Linked DNA regions of Stegostoma tigrinum. The protein of the gene in region 1 interacts with the protein of each later gene in a pairwise test. Links are inferred from orthologs where the notes say so. Each region holds a gene or a part of one and is shown in the gene's direction. Other genes may lie near its edges.

Region 1 (10,807 bases):
TTCCTTCCCTAGAGGGCATTCGTGAACCAGATGGGCTTGTTAACAGTTTCATGGTCACTTATTGGGACAATTTGTAAGAATACCAATGAAAGGGGTAACAAAACTTGTACGGTGCAAGAGGACAGGTTGATTTATTGACTATGAGACTGATTGGTACAGGCTTTGCCGAAGAGAATGTGTCAGTTAATGATGACTGACAGCTAACTGCCAAGAGATAATGGGAACTGCAGATGCTGGAGAATCTGAGATAACAAAGTGTGGAGCTGGATGAACACAGCAGGCCAAGCAGCATCTTAGGAGCAGGAAAGCTGACGTTTCAGGCCTAGACCCTTCATCAGAAAAGGTAACTGCTGCCAAGCTTTGTTTAAATTTTAAAGCAAATAGATTGACTTTGATTGATCAAGGCATTGTCCTGAGAAATAAACCAAAGAATAGCAGTCATCTATGTTGACGAATTCAAACCGGCACAGCCTATGTACACACTGATTCTATCTGCAAAGAGGATACAATTATTAACAAACGGGGCCCTGAAAACTCCAGACACTGGTTCAATATGATACATCTTTCATAAACCCAAGTTGACTCTGCTTGATATCTTCATTTTTTCCCCCCAGTGTCCTGCTGTACCATCTGTAATAATAGCTTCTAACATAATCCGTCTGATAAATACTAAACCGACTGGCCTGCAGATCCCCACCTGTGACCATTCAAAATGAAATTTAAGAACCCTGTGAGAGATTTCATCTCCCACGTGCTGAGGTGAAGTGAAAGGCCTCAGAGGGGATAGACAAACCTCCAAATGACCCATCCTGGGATTGTATTCATTACAGTTTAGAAGGTTGAGGGTAGATCTATTGGAAACATACAAGATAATGTATGGCTTAGAAAGGGTGGACGCTGGGAGGTTGTTTCCATTAGGTGGGGAGACTAGGACCCATGGGCACAGCCTTAGAATTAGAGGGGGTAAATTTAGAATGGAAATGAGGAGACATTTCTTCAGCCAGAGAGTGGTGGGCCTGTGGAATGCAGTGGAGGCCGGGATGTTAAATGTCTTCAAGGCAGAGATTGATAAATTCTTGATCTTGCAAGGAATTAAGGGCTACGGGAAGAATGCGTGTAAATGGAGCTGAAATGCCCATCAGCCGTGATTAAACAGTGGAGTGGACTTGATGGGCCGAATGGCCTTACTTCCACTCCTATGTCTTATGGGCTTATTTATCCAACTCTTCCAGCATGATCTGCTCCATACGTAGTAGAGCCTGCCAAAAATGCATTGGATTGCAGAACCCACCAAACAGGAGTGGGAGCAAGTTGTCCTCAATCCTCACTACAGTCACTTCCTGGTGTAACAAAGCGTAGAGCTGGACCCTTTGGGTGTAGGCCCAAAACGTCAGCCTTCCTATTCCTCTGATGCTGGTTGGCCTGCTGTGTTCATCCAGCTCTAAACTTTGTTATCTCAGATTCTCCAGCATCTGCAGTTCCTACTATCTCTGAAACACCTGCTGGTATGTTGGGTTGAGATCCTGCTTTAACCTCTGACCATCCGTGTGCATACATACACAGATATGGGAATATCTATCCATCTGGAATGGCACTGTGGAGGTGGAATAGGCTGGAGTAAACACAGAACGCTGGAGAAACTCAGCAGCCTCTGTGGAGAGAAACACAGAGTTGATGGAGGAAGAGTAAGTCATACCGGATTTGAAATGTTAACTCTGTTTCTCTACCTACAGATGCTGCCAGACGTGCTGAGTTTCTCCAATTTCTGAGTTTGTTTCAGAAATCCAGCAGAGGCAGTTTTTTGCCCTTTAATTTAGGCTTTTGCTTTTACTTGAGTGCAATATGCTGGATATGGTTTCGGAGGGATACAACCTGAGACACCACCATCTTTGTAGCATTATCATTAAGGTTCCGAATACCAAAGGAGGAAGCTTGGGTGTGACAGTAAATGTCATCAACACAAATGGATTGTGGGTGTTGGTAGGTCATTTATATCCACATTGAACAGTGTTGAGGCTAGGGCTGAGTCTTGTGGTTGTCTAATTGACAGTTTTCTTCAGTGCCCAAGGTGATCTCTAATGCAGCTATTGTGAAGGAATGTCTTCAAACTGTTCCAAACTAGTTTGGAAGCACTCTGAGCAGTTTTAGGAGCAGCACACTATCATACTTGGGAGTGACTCTCAATAGGACTTTGTCTTTCCTGGAACATTCAAGAAAACAGCAAAGATCAGAACCAGAAATCAACCTGTTCGTCACACTGGCCCTGATCTTCATTGGCTCCTGCTGCCACAACATTCTGGAACTCAGCACTTGTCCTACCATGCTCTGCAACAGTGTATTCTGTGCCTGTCTGGCAATACACACAAATTTTGTAGACGGTCAACTGAATGCAACAATGTTCATCATAAATGGAACCCTCTCCAAAACTCCGCTCCTCTGTCCTCTCAAACATCATTCTCCCACAGACTGATCATTGCATTTGGACAATGATTATTGTGCCCTAAAGGTTTAAGATGTGAATGGAGAATGACAATGAACAATCTACAGCAAGAATAATCAACTGGCAGAGAGTAGCCTCCAATGGGGTATGAGCAAAGCTGGGCCAAAAGACAGGAACCAAATGTTGTGGGGGAGAAACAGTCACAGAACAATGGGGCTCCTGTCAAACAGATGATGCAGGTGCAGTCAAGGTATATTCCCTCAAAAAGGAAAGGCAGAGCAAATTCAGATGTCTCTAGATGATGAAGGAGATATTAAAGAAGGAAAATAAATGTTCTTAGGACAGGCGTCAGGTTCTAAATCATAGAATCCTTACAATGCGAAAGCATACATCCCTTTCGGTCCACACTGATCCTCTGAAGAGCATCCCACTTAGACCCATTCCCCCCAACCTTATTCCCCGTAATCCTGCAATTCCCCCAAGTAATTCACCTAACCTACGTATCCCTGCGCAATTTAGTATGGTCAATCCACTTAACCTGCACATCCGGACTCTGGGAGAAGACTGGAACACCCAGAGGAAACCCACACAGACACGGGTAGAATGTGCAAACTCCACACAGACAGTCGCCTGAGGGTGGAATCGAACTTGGGTCTCTGCCGTTGTGAGGCTGCAGTGCTAATCACTGAGCCAGTATGCCACCCTAAATTCGAGCTGAAGGTCCAGAAGGGAGGTGAGGGAGTAATAAGTAATAATAAAAGAAACAAAGAAGGGTTACAAAAAGATCTTTCACATAAAGGGAAATCCTAACGTCTACTTTTGGAAGATCAATAGTAAAAGGAGGAGTGAGGTTGATTAGGGGTCATAAAGGATTTACACAAAGAGGCAAGTGATATGACAGAGGTCTTAAATTAATACTTTTGTCTTTGCCAAGGAGGCAGAAGCTGCCCAGTCCATGGTGACAGAGGAGAAAACTCAGCCACTAAAAGGATTCAAATTTGATAAGGAGGCTATCTTGGACAGTTCCTGAAGTAGACAAGACACTTGGAGCAGATTGGAATCAGCTAAGGATATTCAAGGAGGTACTGGCCATGTTCTTTTCATCCTGTCTGGTCCTGAGAGTGGTGCCAGAGGGCGGAAGAATCGCAAATGTAATGGGCTTTGCTCAAAAAGGTTTGTAAAGGTAAGGCCTGTGATTACAGTCCCATCAGTTTAAGGGAAATTTCTGGCTACTTGAGCTAGAATTAATGGTCATATGGAAAAATATGGGATAACTTGGAAATCCAGCATGGCTTTGTTGAAGTAAAGTCATTTTTAACTACCTTACTGCAGATTTTTTGATAACAGGGTTGGGTGGGGATGGGCGGGTTGTTGAGGATAATGCCGTTGATGTGACGTACATCGACTTTCAGAAGGTATTTGGCACAATGCCACGACAGACTTGAGAAAAATTACAACTCATTGAATAAAAGGCTCTGGAGCAATGTGGATACAAATTGGATGAGGTATAGGAAACAGAATGGAATGATTAATTGGAAGTTTTGTAGCGAGCTCCCTCGGATTTGGTATTCGAATGCATGTTTTTCCTGCATAGGTATACAACTGACATGTAACTTGGTAGGCATTTTTAAGTTTGCAGATGATACAAAAACTGGGAGCATTGAAAACTGGAGGATAGTGCAGAACTTCAAAAAGATATACTCAAGTTGATTTGATTTGACATGTTATTGTCACATGTACCTAGGTACAGTGAAATGTTTTGTTTTGCATGCACAATAGGCATATCATACCATTCAAAATACATTAGGGTAATAGAACAAAGTGAAGAATAGTGATACAGAGGCAGAGAGGTCCATTCAGAAGAACAGCGGAGAAAAAGCTGTTCTTGAATCTGTTCATACCCTTATACAAACCTTTATATCTTCTGCCCTGCAGAAGAGGGCAGAAACGAGTATAACCAGGGTGGGAGGGGTCTTTAACGATGTTGGTTGCTTTCCTGAGGCAGTCGATGAAGTCAGGCAGTGGTGAGTACAGATGAAGTCAATACATGGAAGGCTGGTTTGTGTGATGCACCAGGCTGTGTCCACGACACTCTATACTTTCTTGCGGTCTTGGTTTGGCAACAGCTCTTCCCATGCTGTAATGCGTCCAGCTAGAATGCTTTCTATGGTGTATCTGTAAAAACTGTAAGAGTCCTTAACCTCCTGAGGAAGTAGAGGCATTTTTGTGCATTATTGACAAGTTGGTGGAGTCGGGAGATAGGTGGCAGATGAAATTCGATTTGGAGAATTGAGAGATCACATTTGCAGGAAGGACAGAGAGATTCAGTATAACAGACAGGTGTGACCCTAAATGGGGTATAGGAACACCTGGGTGTATATGTGCATAAGTCATTAAAGGTGGCAGAACAGGGAGACAGAGCTATTAATAAAGGACACAGTATTCTAAGCTTCATTAACAGGCGTATAGAGGACAAGGATCTATTTAGGATACTGAATAGACCTCAGCTGGAGTAACTATGTACAGTTTGGGTGTCCCATTTAAGGAGGGATGTGAATGGAGTGGAGAAAGCACAGAAAAGATTTATAAGAATGGTTCCAGGAATGATACACTTCAGTTTTGAGGACAGATTTGAGACATTGTGACTGTTTTTCTTGGAGAGGAGAAGGTTCAGAGAAAATCTGTTTTAAAAAGAAGCTTTCACAATCATGGGATCATTGAATCATAGAATCCCTTTGCTACATGACCCAAGATCTTTAGACAGAGTAGATAAAGATCAAATGTCCCCAATTCTCAGATGATTGAGACCTAAAGGGAACAAATTTTAAAAGAAGGAGAATGTGAGTGTGAATAAAACTTGTTCATAAAAGTGAGTGGCCTGGGTTTTGAACACTGCCTGGGATGTGTCAGGGAGGCAGGTTCAACTGAGGGATTTGAAAGGGCGTAAGAGATTATGGGTGTACATGGAATAGTGTAGGTTAGATGGGCTTGAAAACGGTATGACAAGTCGGCACAACATCGAGGGCCGAAGGGCCTGTACTGTGCTGTAACGTTCTATGTTCTATTACTTGGATTGAATTGAATTAGCTTTATTGTCACATGTACTCAAAACAACTACAGAGAAAAGTTACATGTCACCACTTGCGGTGGCATCTTACGTACAAAGGTACCTAGGTACAATCACTGGTTACAGAATAGAGAAATGAAGAAAAAATAAAGTTACATTACAGCTATACACAGTATGACTCTAGGTCAGATAAACAAGAAGCAAGGTTAAAAAGACAAACATATCAGTCTCTCTCCAAAGTCTCTCCTTAGCAGATCAAAGCAGGGGGCCTCCAGACAGTCTGACTACTGACAGCTGCCACGTGCCACTCTGGGCCACCACTGCCACACTCAGAACTGGGTTGCTGGTTGCTGGCAGCCCTGCTCCAGCCCCTGGTGTCTCTGCTTACCCTGCTTTAGAGGCTGGGCCCAGGTATCGAAGTCTGAGAGAGGGGAGGGGATGGAAAAAAAAGGAAGAGAACAGTCGGAGCAGAGAAGCTCTGACCCGAGTGTCCTACACTGCCACTATCATAGTGGGTAACAGAAACAATACGCAGGGCTATGGGTGAAAAGGGCAGGAGTGCGGAACAAAGTGAAAACCCCTTACGTATTTGGTGGAGGGGCACAAAATAATGCTGGGGGTGAGGGTGAAGAGAGAGACAAAGAACAATCCTTGATCGTGAGGTACGATCTAAGACTGGAGGATGATTCATGCCTTTTGGACAAGAGTGTTGTGGCCAGTTGTCAAGTGTCTGACTTGACATGTGGCTCTGCTGAGGATGGCTTTATCTCCAAATTCCCCCCCCCCCCCCCCCCCCCCCTCAGTGCATTCCCGAGCTCTGTGCTATCTATAAACCCGGGAGGAATGTGGAGGGGGGAACAGCTGGGGGCCAGCCATCAATGCTGACACACACACACAGGGAAAGGCAGAGCCATGGCGATCCCCGTCGACCCAACAGAGGAGCCTCGCATTTACCAGCAGACTCTGCTGCAGGAGGGGCTGAGGGACCTGCTGGAGAACGGTAAGCTGGTGGACTGCGTGCTCAAGGTGAAGGGCCGGGAGCTGCCGTGTCACGGCCTGGTGCTGGCGGCCTGCAGCCCGTACTTCCGAGCGAGGCTGCTGGCGGAGGCGGGCCCGGGACAAGGCCCGAGGAGGGAGCTGGTGCTGGACGACGAGGAGCTGGAGCCTGATCTGGTCGAGGCCTTGCTGCGTTACCTGTACAGCTCCGAGCTGCCCCTCAGCGACGCCAACGTCAAGGAGGTGCTGGCGGCCGCCAGCCTGCTGCAGATCCCGTCCGTCTTCACCGTCTGCGTGTCGTTCCTGCACCAGCGCCTGGGCCTCAGTAACTGCCTGGCCGTCTTCAGGCTCGGCCTGATGCTCGACTGCCCGCGCCTGGCCGTCGCCGCCCGGGACCTGGCGTGCGAGCACTTCCCGCTGGTGAGCAAGGACCCCGACTTCCTGGGCCTCAGCGCCGCCGAGCTGACCGCCATCATCTCCAGCGACTCGCTCAACGTCGAGCGGGAGGAGCTGGTCTTCGAGGCGGTGATGGCCTGGGCCTCCAGCCAGGCCGCTCCCGCCCAGGCCCTGGCCCAGCTCCTGGGCTGCGTCCGCTTCCTCCTCATGCCCCGCGACTACCTGGAGCGGCAGGTCCGGGCCTACCCCCTGCTCAGCTCCAGCCCCGAGCTCCTCCAGAAGATCCAGCAGGTCAGGGATGCCCACAGGAGGGAGGAGGGCGGGGAGCAAGAGAAGGAGGCCAAGAAGACCCCCGCCAAGGAGGAGCAGGCCCCCTCCCCTGGCAACCAAGAGGCCAAGGAGGAGCAGCCCCCCAGCCTCCTGAATAAAACCCCCAGGTTCGGCATGTTCGTCAAGGACCTCATCTTCATGATCAACGACGAGGCCACGGTGGCCTACGATCCCACCACCAATGAGTGCTACTTCGCCTCGGTCTCCTCGAAGGTCCCCAAGAACCACTCCAGCGTGGTGACCAAGCAGAACCAGGTCTTTGTAGCAGGAGGTCTCTACTACGACGACAGCAGTAAGGAGAACCCATTGCACTCCTACTTCCTGCAGGTGAGTTACAGCCCTCCAGCCCCTCTGTCCAATGTAGAGGCATGGGGCAGGGTGGGGAGGCAGTCTTTGGAACATCTATATTTACAATGGAAATTCCAAACTCACCACCACCTCCATCTAGGCAGCAGAAACATGGAACACCACTGGCTGTAAGTTCCCCCCCAATGCCTCACCATCCTGACTTTACTGTCACTGGGTCAAAATCCTGCAGCTTCCTACATTATAGTACTGTGGATGTACCCAAAGCACACGGACTGCATCAACTCAAGCCTGCACACCAAAGTAGATGATGTAAGATATTGGCCCACTTCTGCCCCATTCATTGTGATCATGGCTGATCTGATCATCCTTAACTCCGTTTTCCTGTCTTTTCCCCATAACCCTGGATTCCCTCACTGATTAGAAATCTCTCAGCCTTGGATGCACTTAGTGACCTAGCCTCCACATCCCACTGCCATAAAGAATGCCACTGATTCACTACCCTCAGATAAGCAATTCCTCCTCATCTCTGTCTTAAATCTGTAACCCTGTATTCTGACATTATACCCTCTGGTCTTAGACTCTTCCCAGATGGGGAAAATATGTAATTAGGAAAGGATGGTTGGCAACTGAAATGCTATATAGCTATCTATACAAAGAAAAACAAACAAATCTTATCAAGAGGAGTAAGGGTTACGGGCAGAAAGCAGGAGAATGGGGTTGAGGAACTTATAAGCCATGATTGAATGGCAGAGTAGACTCAATGGGCCAAATGGCCTAATTTCTGCACCTATGTCTCATAGTCTTAAATGAATTGTAAATTGGAGAACAAGAGTTGTGGTATTTCCCTGAGACATAAGGAGGCAGGATGAGAGAACTGAAAGACAAAGAAAATATGAGGAACCATTGGGACAGGAGAGAGGTTGAAGGGTTTGGGGGAGGACGTGTATGCTTTTAGCTCAGGGGCACAATGTAACTGGGAAGCCACTGTGTTAATCTGTGAATGAGGAGTTTCTGGGGGCTATTGATGAATATACTGTAACAATATTGTTGCTGCACTTTTTACCATTCTCTGGGATAGCAGTTGCCACATTCTCTATACTCTATGTGTACAGATGGTTCTCCTGAAGTGCTTGCCTACTCTGGGCTGAAAGGTTTGATCAGAAAAGACTGATTGCATTTCAGTGCTAACTTAGTGGATGGAAGTTATTTTAAATGCTGGTGCCTTGTGCTGTGTGACTTCATGTTTGCTGTTTCTTTCTAATATTTTGTCTTGACCTGCGAACAGTTTGATCCCCTGGACTCTGACTGGCTAGGGATGCCAGCCTTACCCTCTCCACGCTGCCTCTTTGGTCTGGGCGAAGCTGATAATGCCGTCTATGTCATTGGTGGGAAGGAAGTGAATGAAGAGGAGAAGACACTGGACACTGTGATGTGCTATGATCGACAGTAGGTTTCCATGAACAGGGCATAAATCAAGGTAATGGACTCTCGGTCAGATGGAACATCCTGAGCATTTGGCTACAGCACAGTCATTGTGACTGAAATAACTGGCACAGTTCCCTTGAGGGCTCAACTTGTGAAATTGATACTGTGAGTCAGGCCAAGCTTTCTGTCACGCTTGTGACAGCAGTAGTTCAGTGGGGTCAGGAGAAGAGGGAGTTGGTTGGGGTGGAAGGAAATGATGTGAGTGCAATGAAACATGGGATTACAACAGTGAGGTGATGGTTTTTGCCCAGTGCAGACTCTACGTGTCTTTTTCTTTGCTGTAGACCTCTCTGACTCTATGGCAGTTTGCAGTCTCTTCATTAGTTGCTGGGATGAACAGAGTCTGGTTGGTCCAGTGTGGGAGAGAAAAGCCACTTAATGATACGGAGCAGGGTCCTCTGTCTCTGCCCCTCATACGTACACTTACACCATTACCTCACACCAGTCTCCAGTCTTTCCTCCATATCTCCACACACCATTCCTTTCCATAAAACCATCCATTCCCCCTCGTTCTCACACACCACCCTACCAACCTCCGGATACAACGCATTATCCTCCGACACTTCCGCCATTTACAATCCGACCCCACCACCCAAGACATTTTTCCATCCCCTCCCCTGTCTGCTTTCCGGAGAGACCACTCTCTCCGCGACTCCCTTGTTCGCTCCACACTGCCCTCCAACCCCACCACACCCGGCACCTTCCCCTGCAACCGCAAGAAATGCTACACTTGTCCCCACACCTCCTCCCTCACCCCCATCCCAGGCCCCAAGATGACATTCCACATCAAGCAGAGGTTCACCTGCACATCTGCCAATGTGGTATACTGCATCCACTGTACCTGGTGCGGCTTCCTCTACATTGGGGAAACCAAGCGGAGGCTTGGGGACCGCTTTGCAGAACACCTCCGCTCAGTTCGCAAAAAACAACTGCACCTCCCAGTCGCAAACCATTTCCACTCCCCCTCCCATTCTCTTGATGACATGTCCATCATGGGCCTCCTGCACTGCCACAATGATGCCACCTGAAGGTTGCAGGAACAGCAACTCATATTCCGCCTGGGAACCCTGCAGCCATATGGTATCAATGTGGACTTCACCAGTTTCAAAATCTCCCCTTCCCCTACTGCATCCCTCAACCAGCCCAGTTCGTCCCCTCCCCCCACTGCACCACACAACCAGCCCAGCTCTTCCCCCCCACCCACTGTATCCCAAAACCAGTCCAACCTGTCTCTGCCTCCCTAACCGGTTCTTCCTCTCACCCATCCCTTCCTCCCACCCCAAGCCGCACCCCCCGTTACCTACTAACCTCATCCCACCTCCTTGACCTGTCCGTCTTCCCTGGACTGACCTATCCCCTCCCTACCTCCCCACCTACACTCTCTCCACCTATCTTCTTTACTCTCCATCTTCGGTCCGCCTCCCCCTCTCTCCCTATTTATTCCAGTTCCCTCCCCGCATCCCCCTCTCTGATGAAGGGTCTAGGCCCGAAACGTCAGCTTTTGTGCTCCTGAGATGCTGCTTGGCCTGCTGTGTTCATCCAGCCTCACATTTTATTATCTTGGAATCTCCAGCATCTGCAGTTCCCATTATCTCTCATTCCCCTCTTGAATGCCTCCATTGAACCTGCTTCCACACATTTTCAGGCAGTGCATTCTACACCCGAACTGCTCACTAAGTGAAAACATTTCTCCTGTTCCTTTGTCACTTTAAACCTATGCCCTCTCGTTCTTTTCCTTTTACGAGCAGGAGCAGCTGCTCCCTATCGCCTCTGTCCAACCTGCC
Region 2 (10,947 bases), about 95 Mb from region 1:
TGCACAGGATAGAGAAAACATTAGCCATGTAGGTCCATGGTAAGTAGCCACATTGTACAAATTTTATTTGACACCTCACCCACGAAGCAGAGAGGGTAATAGAGAGTCAACTCTATGGTGAATTATGCCCATTCCTTACTTTAAAAAAAACTTATACATTAAGCTGTAATGGAACTCTTACAGTACTGGCCTTACCTCTGAGTCAGAAAACCCGAGTTCAAGCGCTCCAGAGCCTATTATAACATGTATGACAGGCTGATTAGAAAATAAAAACAGAAATAGCTGGAGAAACTCACTAGTCAAGCTGCATCTGTGGACAGAAAGAAGTGTCAATGTTCCGGGTCCAGGGGCACTTCTACAGATGCTGGAGAACTACTGAGTTTCTCCAGCTATTTCTGTTTTTGTTTCAGATTTGCAGCATCTACAGTTGTATTTTTTTGATTAGAAAATACCTACATTAAAATATAAAATGGTATATGCATTTCCCAGATTACAATATGACTATGACATCAACAACACTTTCAACGTAATTGGTTGGGTTACTGTAATCACAGTCAAAGCATATGCACTCAATATAACCAGAATAATTTATACATAAAAGAATTATTTTCCTTAACACTTGTATTTGTTTTATGAAACAAATAATTTCACACGAAATAATGAAAATAACTTTTCTTTCTTTCCAATACACATTTCAGCTAACCTATTTGGCTCATTTCTCTTTTTGTCTGGGTTTCTTCTTCCATTTATTTTTCAAAATCAGTGCCCATTGACACCATGAAGTATCGTCTGTGTTTTTTAGCCTTGATGTCACAGTTCTGACATCAATCTAGAACTTTGTTCAACCTTACAATGTGCTCTTTCTTCGTCTCCCTAAGAGTTAGAGTTTCATCTAAAAAGTAGCCCACTCCTTTCATCCCACATAGCGCCCAATCCATGATGTTCCAGAACAGGGTCAGAACATAACATATGCCATAAGGCAACATTTCAAATGTGGTACGATATTTGATGTATATGATTGGTAAGCAGTTCCTTGCTCTTGTCAGTTAACTTTAATTGCAAGTATGTATAAAACATTTCTATCCTACTGAACGCCTTTCTATTTGCTAAACCTTAAAACACGACTTTACTGGTAAGCAATGGGTATCATTCTCAGTCATTTTAATGACCATTTCACAAATCTGAAATGACCTAACTGATTTTTGAACAACCAAAATGGTATTGCCCACTCATTGTTCTTTGTTAGTTAACTGCTCCTGTTTCAATTGTTCCAGATTGTTCCAATCTATCAGCTGTTTGCTTACTATTTTTAACTGTGAATAAGGCATTAGCCTAGCCTTACAAATTATTGATTGTACGTGTTTTTTTTTATCTTGACCTTTCCTTTGTGAAGTCTAATTTTATAACTGATCCTTCTTGCTTAAAGACGACTTTATGAACTCAGCACCTTTTCAATGTCAGAGGTACTCATCCTGATCTGTAAACAGTACAGCCCAGTTTAACCATATGTTAAGCCACTTTTTTTAGTGTCAGGGAGACCTTGATCCCTGCAACTACTAATAACAAGTAATAGGGTGCAGCATGATATTCCACCATAACTGACTGACTTAATACTGGAATAAATAATTCGCTTCACATTAGTTTTTGTTTTGCATAAGGGAATATGAATTAAGGATTTCTTCAACTCATTCTGAGATAACAGAAGCTGCTATGGCTGTATAACTAAAGTCATACCAGTTATACTGCTGACTTCCACTTCTACTATAGATGCTGGAATGATGTCTTCAGCCCAACCAGTACATTCATTTTCAATGCACTGTTTCTCTTGCTATACGAGTACATTCTTGAGCTTCCTGCTCAATAACATCAACTTTAGTTTCAGCCTGCAATTAAGTGCATATACATTCAGGCACCTGAACAACTTTCAATCTACTGCCACCATGATCTGCTCCTTGGCTGCTGCAACCCAGTGCTGAATTATAACCTAGAATATTACGATATCCTCTACTCCTGCATGCCATCTAGAGGTACAGTCACATCACACTACAAGAAATGGGGACATTTAGACAGGCAGTCAACATAGATTTAAGAAAGAGAGACTATGTTTGACAAATTTGCTTGTTATTTGATACTTAAGAAGCAGAGTTGATAAAGGGGAATCAGCAGATGGAGTGTATTTGGATTTTTATAACTTATGCAATAGGGCGCCACATAAAAGGTATGAGCTCACAGTATTGGAGGTAATGTATTAGTGTGGATTGAGGGTTGATAAGTATAGAGAACAAAAAGAGTTGACGTGATGGGTCATTTTCAGGTTGGAAAGATGTAACTCATCATGTGCCACAAGGATCAGTCCTCGGGCTTCAATTACCGCTTTAACTTTCCATAGCTATATACCATCTGAACACCCTGTAAATCAGTGCTACCCTGTCATCAATATCCACTGTATACCTGCAGCTTGTAAACATCCAATACGGGAACATTACACACTGGAAGAAATCAGAAAAATCCAAGGTCAAACTTTTATTTGCAGAAGCAAATGTGAATATAGACAGACCACATGAAGATTAAAATTTGTCCAAACAATACCAAGCAGACTTCTACATCATAACCAATTAATATTTTACATTTCACAAATATTCTGCTCACATCCATTGGAAGTAGATGTCAATGAGCCTCTGGTTGGTTTGTAGCACCTGACACAGCTGAGTTTTGTCATGGTCAAGGACATCTTCCTTTTCCCCAACATTGTTCTGTTCTTTCTCAGGAGACTTCCTCCATTTTCCAAGTTCCTCAGCATCCAGCACAGTGTGAGGTTATGCATTTTGGCAGGAAGAGTACAGAAGCTGAATATTATTTAAATGGAGAAAGACTGCAGAAAGCTACAGCACAGAAGGAATTAGGAATCTTCGCATAAATCTCAAACACCGAGCATCCAAGTTCAGCAGGTAACAGGGAAGGTAAGTGGAATATTTGCCTTTACTTCAAAGGGAATGAAATCTAAAATTGGAAAGTCTTGCTAAAACTGTACAAGGCCCTGATCAGAACACAGATGAATTATTATGAACATTTTTTGTTTTATTTATTCATTCCTGAGATATGGGTGTTGTTGTCAGGGACAGCATTTAATACCCAACCCCAATTGTTAAGAGTTAACCACATTGCAATGGACCTGGAGTCATAGACCAGGTAAGGACCAGTAAAACCCATCTGGTTCACTAATGTCCTTCTTCCCTGAAGGACATTAGTGAACCAGATGGGTTTTTCAAACAATTAACAATGGATTTGTGGTCATCATTAGGCTCTTAATTCTAGATTTTTTTTCACTGAATTCAAATTCTACCATCTGCAGGATTCAAACATGTGTACCCAGGGCATTACCAGAGTTTCTGGATTAATAGCCTGATGATAATACCACTAGGCCATCACCTCCCCGTGTTTAGGCCCTGTATAAGGGGAGGCAGTCCAAAGACGGCTCACTAGGCCAATCCCACGTATAAAGGGAATGTCCTATAAGAAGACGTTGAATAGGTTGGGCCTGTAGTCATTCTAATTTAGAAGAATGAAAGGTGACCTCTTTGAAACATACAAGGTTCTTAGGTGCCTTGACAGGTAAATGTGGAAAGGTTGTTTCCCCTTATGGAAGAGTGCAAGACCAGAGGACATAATCTCAGAACAAGTCACCTTTTTAAGACAGACACAAGGAGGAATTTCTTCTCTCAGAAGTAGTGAATTTGTGGAATTCTTTACCACAGACCCCTGTTGAGGCTGTGTCATTGAGTATATTCAAGGCTGAGGTAGGCAAATTTTTAATCAGTAAGGGTAACAAGGGTAATGGGGAAATAGCAGGACAGTAGAAATTAGGATAATCAGTTCATCCTTGATGTCATTGGAATGGCATGCTTCTGATTCTACATCTTAAATTTGTGGTAAAAGAACCAACACAGCTGATATTTGGTCATGAACATCACATTGGGCGACAAGCCAGCCTGTTTCAAGTTACTCTGTTCAAAATGGCATTATAACTAGAAATATAGGCTACAGTGGTTTATGTCTCAACTGGTTGCTTCTTTTAATCATTGTATTATTATACCTTTATTTTGACTTTCACTAATTTTTCCTATAAAGCAATTTTCTGTCTGTAACCCTCCCTGGTTTTTCGTGGTGTTCCTTCATTGGGAGACAGTCTGGAATGTATCAGTATGCAGTGGTGTTTTTGCAAATTCACAATATATGCATTCTATGTTTTTCACTCATTCCTAGGATGAAAGTGTGTTCTTAGCTTTTGAAGCTGCTGTCTTAAGTCATCGATCTGTGAGGCTGAGGCGATGCGCAATTCCAATAACATCATGTCGACATTCACTCGCATATCAGGAGTTGAGGACAGATCCCTTGAGCTATGCATTCTGTTAAGGAAATTTTACTGTTTTTAAATGGGTTTTTTCATAGATTTTAATTCTAATTCCCCACTCTGTCATCCTCAAAACTGCTCACTCAATTCCTATCACTGGTCACCCGTTATTGGTCTCCTCTCATTGCTTCAATTGCTCCCCCACCTTGAGACTGTCAATCCTCCTTCTGTAGCCCTGATGCTGCTCAAGCTACTCGTGACATTGCTTAATCCCCTCCAGTAGTGAAGGAGTGTCGAGACACGTAAGCAGTGCAGGGCAGGGATGAATGTAGGAGGGGTCTCGTGTCCTTTGATACTCCTAATTTAAACAGCTGCATTCCAAGCCAGCTTTCAAATGCTAACAAATCCTTTCATGAAACTAGAAAGTACAGGCAAAAGTTTCAGGTCCTGGAGAACTGTCTACAAGTTCTCCTATGGAAACTTTCCCCCAAGACAGAAGTTTGGGGTTCTAGTGCAAATCTGCAACACTCAATAGCAGCAAACCTTTTAGCATTCACTATCATTGGGAGATATGGGCCCTAAAAGGATTTAGACAGCTTGAGACAGTTAATGCTATCAGGCTGCTTCCCTTGTTTAGTGTCAGGAAATAGGGATCAGAGATTCAGAACACAGGTGTGACCAGCAGAAGATTAGAAATTTCTTCTCTGAGAGTGTTGTGAATCTGTAATTCTCTAAACGCAAAGGGCTGTGCCTGTCATAAGTATGGTCAACACCGTGACTGATAGACTCTGGATACTAAGAGAATCAAAGGATTTGGAGATTTGGTAGGAAAACTGAATCAATCCTAAAAACTTAACCATGGCCTTAATGGATGATAAGGAGTAGGGACGATTTGGAACTACTCTGCTCCTATTTCTGCACCAAAGCTCTTTACCTCACACTCATCCACGTGAAGATCCAGTTGACATGCTTCGTCCTGGTTCTTGAAACCTTTCAAATCCCTTCGCAATCCGTTTGGTCAATAATCGACCTAAACTTCTAACCGGTCAAGAGGCATCTCGTGGAAAGATGTACAAGGCAGGAAATGAGGTCCATTAAGAAAATTAAGTTGCAAGCGGAAAGCATTATGTGTTTTTGTTTTAAGAGGTCTGATATCACAAGATGGCTCCCAAACAGCGAGAGTCCGTAAACAGCGCGGAGCGTTGCTCTGAAAACAAAAGGCGGGCCGAACGCCTTCCCTCGCTGTCGGAAGTTGTGACTGGACTGAGCTCTTTGGGAAGGCAGGCTGGGGCGGGAACCACTGAAGGGTTGATGCTAAACCTTCCCCAGGTAGCAGCCGCTGCCAGAAGATGCGGCTCCTCCTCCTGCCGCCGCTGCTGATTATTGAGGCTGTGAATCAGACTCATTGTCATGGATTTGCCGTCATACCCCCGCATTGGCCAATACTATCAAACCTGGATGTGTCCTGTCCCCTTGATACAGGGAACCAGAGGCCGCGTCGTTTCCTCATTTGCCTCGGCCCTGCTCCATTGCACCTTTTAATTTATAGAAGACTTATTCTCCTCCCCCCACCCACTCTATTCCCCCCCCGATTTAAGCCATGGAGGTCGATCAACTGTCCGCTGGCGATCCTTTCTATTACTATCGCCAAACGGAAGGGCACAACATCCTGCGCCCGACCTTCCAGTCCAATATGCAGATAACTCCCACGCAGTTCGACCGCCCCACTGTATCTGCTGGCAGGTGAGAGAAATGGGTCTGTATAGTGGACGCTTTAAATCAGAGGGTGAAGTGGGGGGCACAAAACTCGTGCATTGAAACGGACTTTCCCTCAACCTAATCGTTAATTTCGTAATGCTTATGTCTAGAAATGACAGCTGTATAAATAAAAATCTGCGTTTGTGTAGTACCTTCCTCACAAGAGGAACACGTGCTAGGGCGCTTCAAAGTTCGGACTGTGAGAGTAAACCCTATTCTGGACGGGCAGAGAATGACCCCAATGCTTGATGGAAAAGGTGTGTTTTTAAAAGTGCAACAGAGATGGAGAGGAACAAAAAGGTTTGGAATGTATGTCATAGGTAAATGAAAGATGCCCCGCTGAAAGGAGAAGAGTCAGAGGTCTAGGGGTAATTGTTACAGACAGGACAGAGAAAAAAATTCAACTATTTTATTGCCCTGCCCACCTGCAGAAAGCAGAATCATAGAATCATATAGCATGGAAACAGACCAGTCAGTCCGACTCATCCATGCCAACCAGATATCCCACATAAATCTAGTCCAACTTGCCAGTACTTGATCCATATCCCTCTAAGCCCTTTCTATTTATGTATTCATCCAGATGCCTTTTAAATGTTTCTGAAGTTTTTGAGTAGATTTGTATCTCAGGTTGTGGATGTTGTGGTTGGTTGGCTCCCCAAGCTGGTTCTTTGTTCCCCAGATGTTTCATTACCCTGCTGGGTAACATTTATCAGTCTCCAATGCAGCACTGATAATGGGAACTGCAGATGCTGGAGAATCCAAGATAACAAAGTGTGAAGCTGGATGAACACAGCAAGCCAAGCAGCATCTCAGGAGCACATGAGATGCTGCTTGGCCTGCTGTGTTCATCCAGCTTCACACTTTGTTATCCAATGCAGCACTGTTGTGTTTTCCCGCCTGTTCTTTAAACTCTGGAGTCCATTGAGCTGGGTTACCTCACTGCCGGTTTTCCTTCGCAGTAGAGTTAGAAGGTCTAGTTCTATGTGTTTGTTGATGGCCGCCTTAGTGGAGAACCAGGCCTCTAAGATTCCTGTGCTTGTCTCTGCTTGGCCTGTCCCAGGATCCTGGTGTTTAAATGTTGTAATCATACCAGCCTCCACCACTTCCTCTGGCAGCTCATTCCATACACATACCACCCTCAGAATGAAAAAGCAGCCCTTAGGTCCCTTTCATATCTTTGCCCTCTCACCTTAAACGCATGCGCTCTAGTTTTGGGCTCCCCCACCCTGTGGAAAAGACCTTGCCTACTTACCCTATCCATGACCCTTTATAAACCTGGAAATCATAAGTGACTTTTACATTCAGGCAAGGAGTTACCAGAGATAATGGGAACTGCAGATGCTGGAGAATCTGAGTATAAGGTTACGCTTCAGCCTCAATGCTCTAAGGAAAGTAACCCGGTAGTTACTTTTTTTTCTCTATTTTATAACAGGCTATGAAAAGCTTCCCCAAATCTTTATTTTGTGAAGTGCAATTTCTATAATGATTCACCACACATTCTCTTTAGGGTAAAGCAAGCATATAGTTTAATTTTATATTCAAAACCACGGAAGATGATTATCACAACACATAAAAGCTTCAAGGGAAAAAAAAATTAAGAATAACTTAAGAAAAGGACACCTGGCTATTAAGTTTAGTAGTTGTCCATTCAGAAAGTTAGGGTATAGTGAAGGTTATTTTCTGTAGGAGCTCAAATTCCAGCAGGTTTAGTTTGCCAAGGCAGGATTTGTAGAATCATTCTTAACATTGTTGAAGGCTCAGCAATATGAGGTTGGCATGTAGAGTCTTGGTTAAATTTTCAGTCAAATACGAGATTTCCTTCAGAACTAGGTTTCGAGAAAGACTACCTGGTTCCTTTTGTACTCTGTTTCCATTGAAACCAAGGCCACCATTCCAGGTGCCTGCAAAAATAGCTGCTGAAGTTGTGTATTAGTTTTTTCTGTGATTTATGCACAAGAATTCCCAAATCTTTTGGTGCTGTAGCTTTCTGCAGTGTTTCTTCATCAAAATAATATTCAGCTCTTCCATGCTTCCTGCCAAAATACATGACCTGATATTTTCCCACATTAAATTCCATCTGCCAAAGTTTTTCCCACTTACTTAATCCTCTGTAGACTCTTGCTGTGTCATCCTTCCCCCTTGCCTTCCCACCTCTTAATATATAATGTAATTCATAATGGCCCAGCTTTGATCACTGTGGCAGTCCATTAGTTGTAGGTTGCCATTTGAAAATGCTGCCTGCTTCCCCCCACCACATCCCAATTATTTATTTGATGTAAGGAAACCAAGTTATAGTCACTTGCGGTCCTGAGTATTTTGTAGATGAGAATCTGCTTTTTTTAAATGCAAGCCTTTGGGAGGGCCAGTCAAGAACGAACATGACATTGTGTGGGAAGGTGGCGTTTTTACATAGATTGTATAGAATGTACTGCACAGAAACAGGCCTCCTGTCTCAGCCTGTCCATGTTTGTATTAATCCTCCATTGAAGGCTTGTTCTGACTTCCTCCTCAAACTCTTTCAGCATAACCTCTACTTTTTTTTTCACCAGGCTTCTTTAGCATCCATGCCATTCATTTTAATCACTCCTTGTTATAGAAAGGAGTACGGTAAAGAGGTTTCTTCCAAATCCCCTCGTTGATTTGCATTGCTAACTACCTTACATTGGTGATTTGTTGTTTTGCTCTTCCATGAATGTAGAAACGGTGGACTGGATTTCACATGGAACAGTTGACTCTATTTACCAGCTGGGAGCCTTGTGAACTTTATATTCAGGCAAGGCGTTACCAGAGATAATGGGAACTGCAGATGCTGGAGAATCCGAGTATAATAAAGTGTGAAGCTGGATGAACACAGTAGGCCAAGCATCATCTCATGTGCTTTTGAGATGCTGCTTGGCCTACTGTGTTCGTCCAGCTTCACACTTTATTATCAAGGAGTTACCAGAGGTTGTCTCTTCAGTTCTCCTGACTAAGAATGTTGCACATGCAGCAGCTGCTAACCAATCAGAGAGCTGGCTTGTCTTAGGTCTCCGCAGGACCAATGGGAGCAGTTGTACTCCTGGGACTGCAGTAGTTCCCAGGCCAGTGACAAGTAAAGATAAGTGGGGTCAGGGATCATTGAAGATAATTAGGCAAAGCTTGCAAGTGGGGAGCGGGTGTGATGATAGGCCTTGGGGAGAGTGTAGATCATGGAGACAGAGGGAGCATTCCTAGGGTGGTGGTGGTTGCTGCAAGGTTGGAGAGTGGGTCCACAGGAGGAACCACACCACAAAACTGTCTTAGAGGCTGCCATGTAAAACACCAACGGTGACAGGAAGAGACACTGCAGTGGCAACAGAACAGCCTGAATTGGTCAAAGATGATGAGCATTTACCATTCCACCATATTTTCCACTTCCCCATCCCCGCCTCCCAACCACAGGATGGAGCAATGTGAGTGAAGTTTCAACAATTTTCTATGTTTTGGATTTTGAGGTTCAAAGGGCCATGATATTGGCTTTAGAAAAACCCAATCCAGTTGAGTGATTTTCAGATATGTAGTTTGACTGCTTATTCATTCAGTTTGTATTTTGGAATTTCTCCTGTGCATGCTTGCCTACACAATAGCTTGTAAGAAGTAATTGATTTGATGTTAAAAACTTTGCAAATGGCCTGGTGACATAATGAGGCAATATGTATAAGCAGGCTTGTTCTTTCTTCCAATTCCCAAAACACACCCTTTATTTAAAATCTGACATTTGCATCTTTAAATATCGATTCTTGGCTGTAAATCAGCTCCAAAGCCAATTTGCTGAACCAACTGAAGATTAGAACACCGTGGAGCTCCACTTAGGTTTCAGATTAAAAACCAGGAAAAAATAATGAAGTGTTAAGCAAAACAGACACTCTCAACCGTAACATAACAGGTTTATCATATAATCTGGGAATTTGGATATAATTTATTCCACCAGCTCAAGAGTTAAAGTTTTTAGTTATGTTATTTACATACACAACAATTAGCATAAAAATTTAAATACCTATATTGCAAAGTGGTAATTGGGAAAGAAGGTTATGTAGAATATATATTGTGATCAGAGATAATGGGAACTGCAGATGCTGGAGAATCCAAGATAACAAAGTGTGGAGCTGGATGAACACAGTAGGCCAAGCAGCATCTCAGGAGCACAAAAGCTGATGTTTCGGGCCTAGACCCTTCATCAGAGAGGAGGATGGGGAGAGGGTTCTGAAATAAATAGGGAGAGAGGGGGAGGCGGACCAAAGATGGATAGAGGAGGAGATAGGGTGAGAGGAGAGTATAGGTGGGGAGGGGATAGGTCAGTCCAGGGAGGACGGACTGGTCACGGAGGCGGGATGAGGTCAGTAGGTGGGAAATGGAGGTGCGGCGTGAGGTGGGAGGAGGTGGTAGGTGAGAGGAAGAACAGGTTAGGGAGGCGAGGACGAGCTGGCCTGGTTTTGGGATGCAGTGGGGGAAGTGGAGATTTTGAAGCTTGTGAAGTCCACATTGATACCATTGGGCTGTAGAGTTCCCAAGCGGAATATGAGTTCCTGTTCCTGCGACCTCCGGGTGGCATCATTATGGCACTGCAGGAGGCCCATGATGGACATGTCGTCTAAGGAATGGGAGGGGGAGTTAAAATGGTTCGCAACTGGGAGGTGTAGTTGTTTATTGCGAATCGAGCGGAGGTGTTCTGCAAAGCAGTCCCCAAGCCTCCGCTTGGTTTCCCCAATGTAGAGGAAGCCACAACTGGTACAGTGGATACAGTATACCACATTGGCACATGTGCAGGTGAACATCTGCTTAATAGGAAAGTCATCTTGGGGCCTGGGATGTGGGTGAGA

The links. The genes of interacting proteins can lie anywhere in the genome.
Region 2: the proteins of klhl40b (region 1) and uncharacterized protein C7orf31 interact in a two-hybrid assay, tested with the Homo sapiens proteins (2 studies listed by BioGRID and IntAct). The two-hybrid records come from large-scale screens. The link is inferred for Stegostoma tigrinum from reciprocal best matches to the Homo sapiens genes KLHL40 and SPMIP4.

The regions. Positions count from the first base shown.
Region 1 is NC_081355.1:150,691,308-150,702,114, forward strand, and holds the start of klhl40b (kelch-like protein 40b), read left to right. Parts: upstream 1-6,314; 5' UTR 6,315-6,419; coding exon 6,420-7,556; intron 7,557-8,823; coding exon 8,824-8,984; intron 8,985-10,807. UniProt on the Homo sapiens protein: Substrate-specific adapter of a BCR (BTB-CUL3-RBX1) E3 ubiquitin ligase complex that acts as a key regulator of skeletal muscle development.
Region 2 is NC_081355.1:55,322,893-55,333,839, reverse strand, and holds the start of uncharacterized protein C7orf31, read left to right. Parts: upstream 1-5,572; 5' UTR 5,573-5,951; coding exon 5,952-6,094; intron 6,095-10,947. UniProt on the Homo sapiens protein: Microtubule inner protein (MIP) part of the dynein-decorated doublet microtubules (DMTs) in flagellum axoneme. May serve to reinforce and thus stabilize the microtubule structure in the sperm flagella.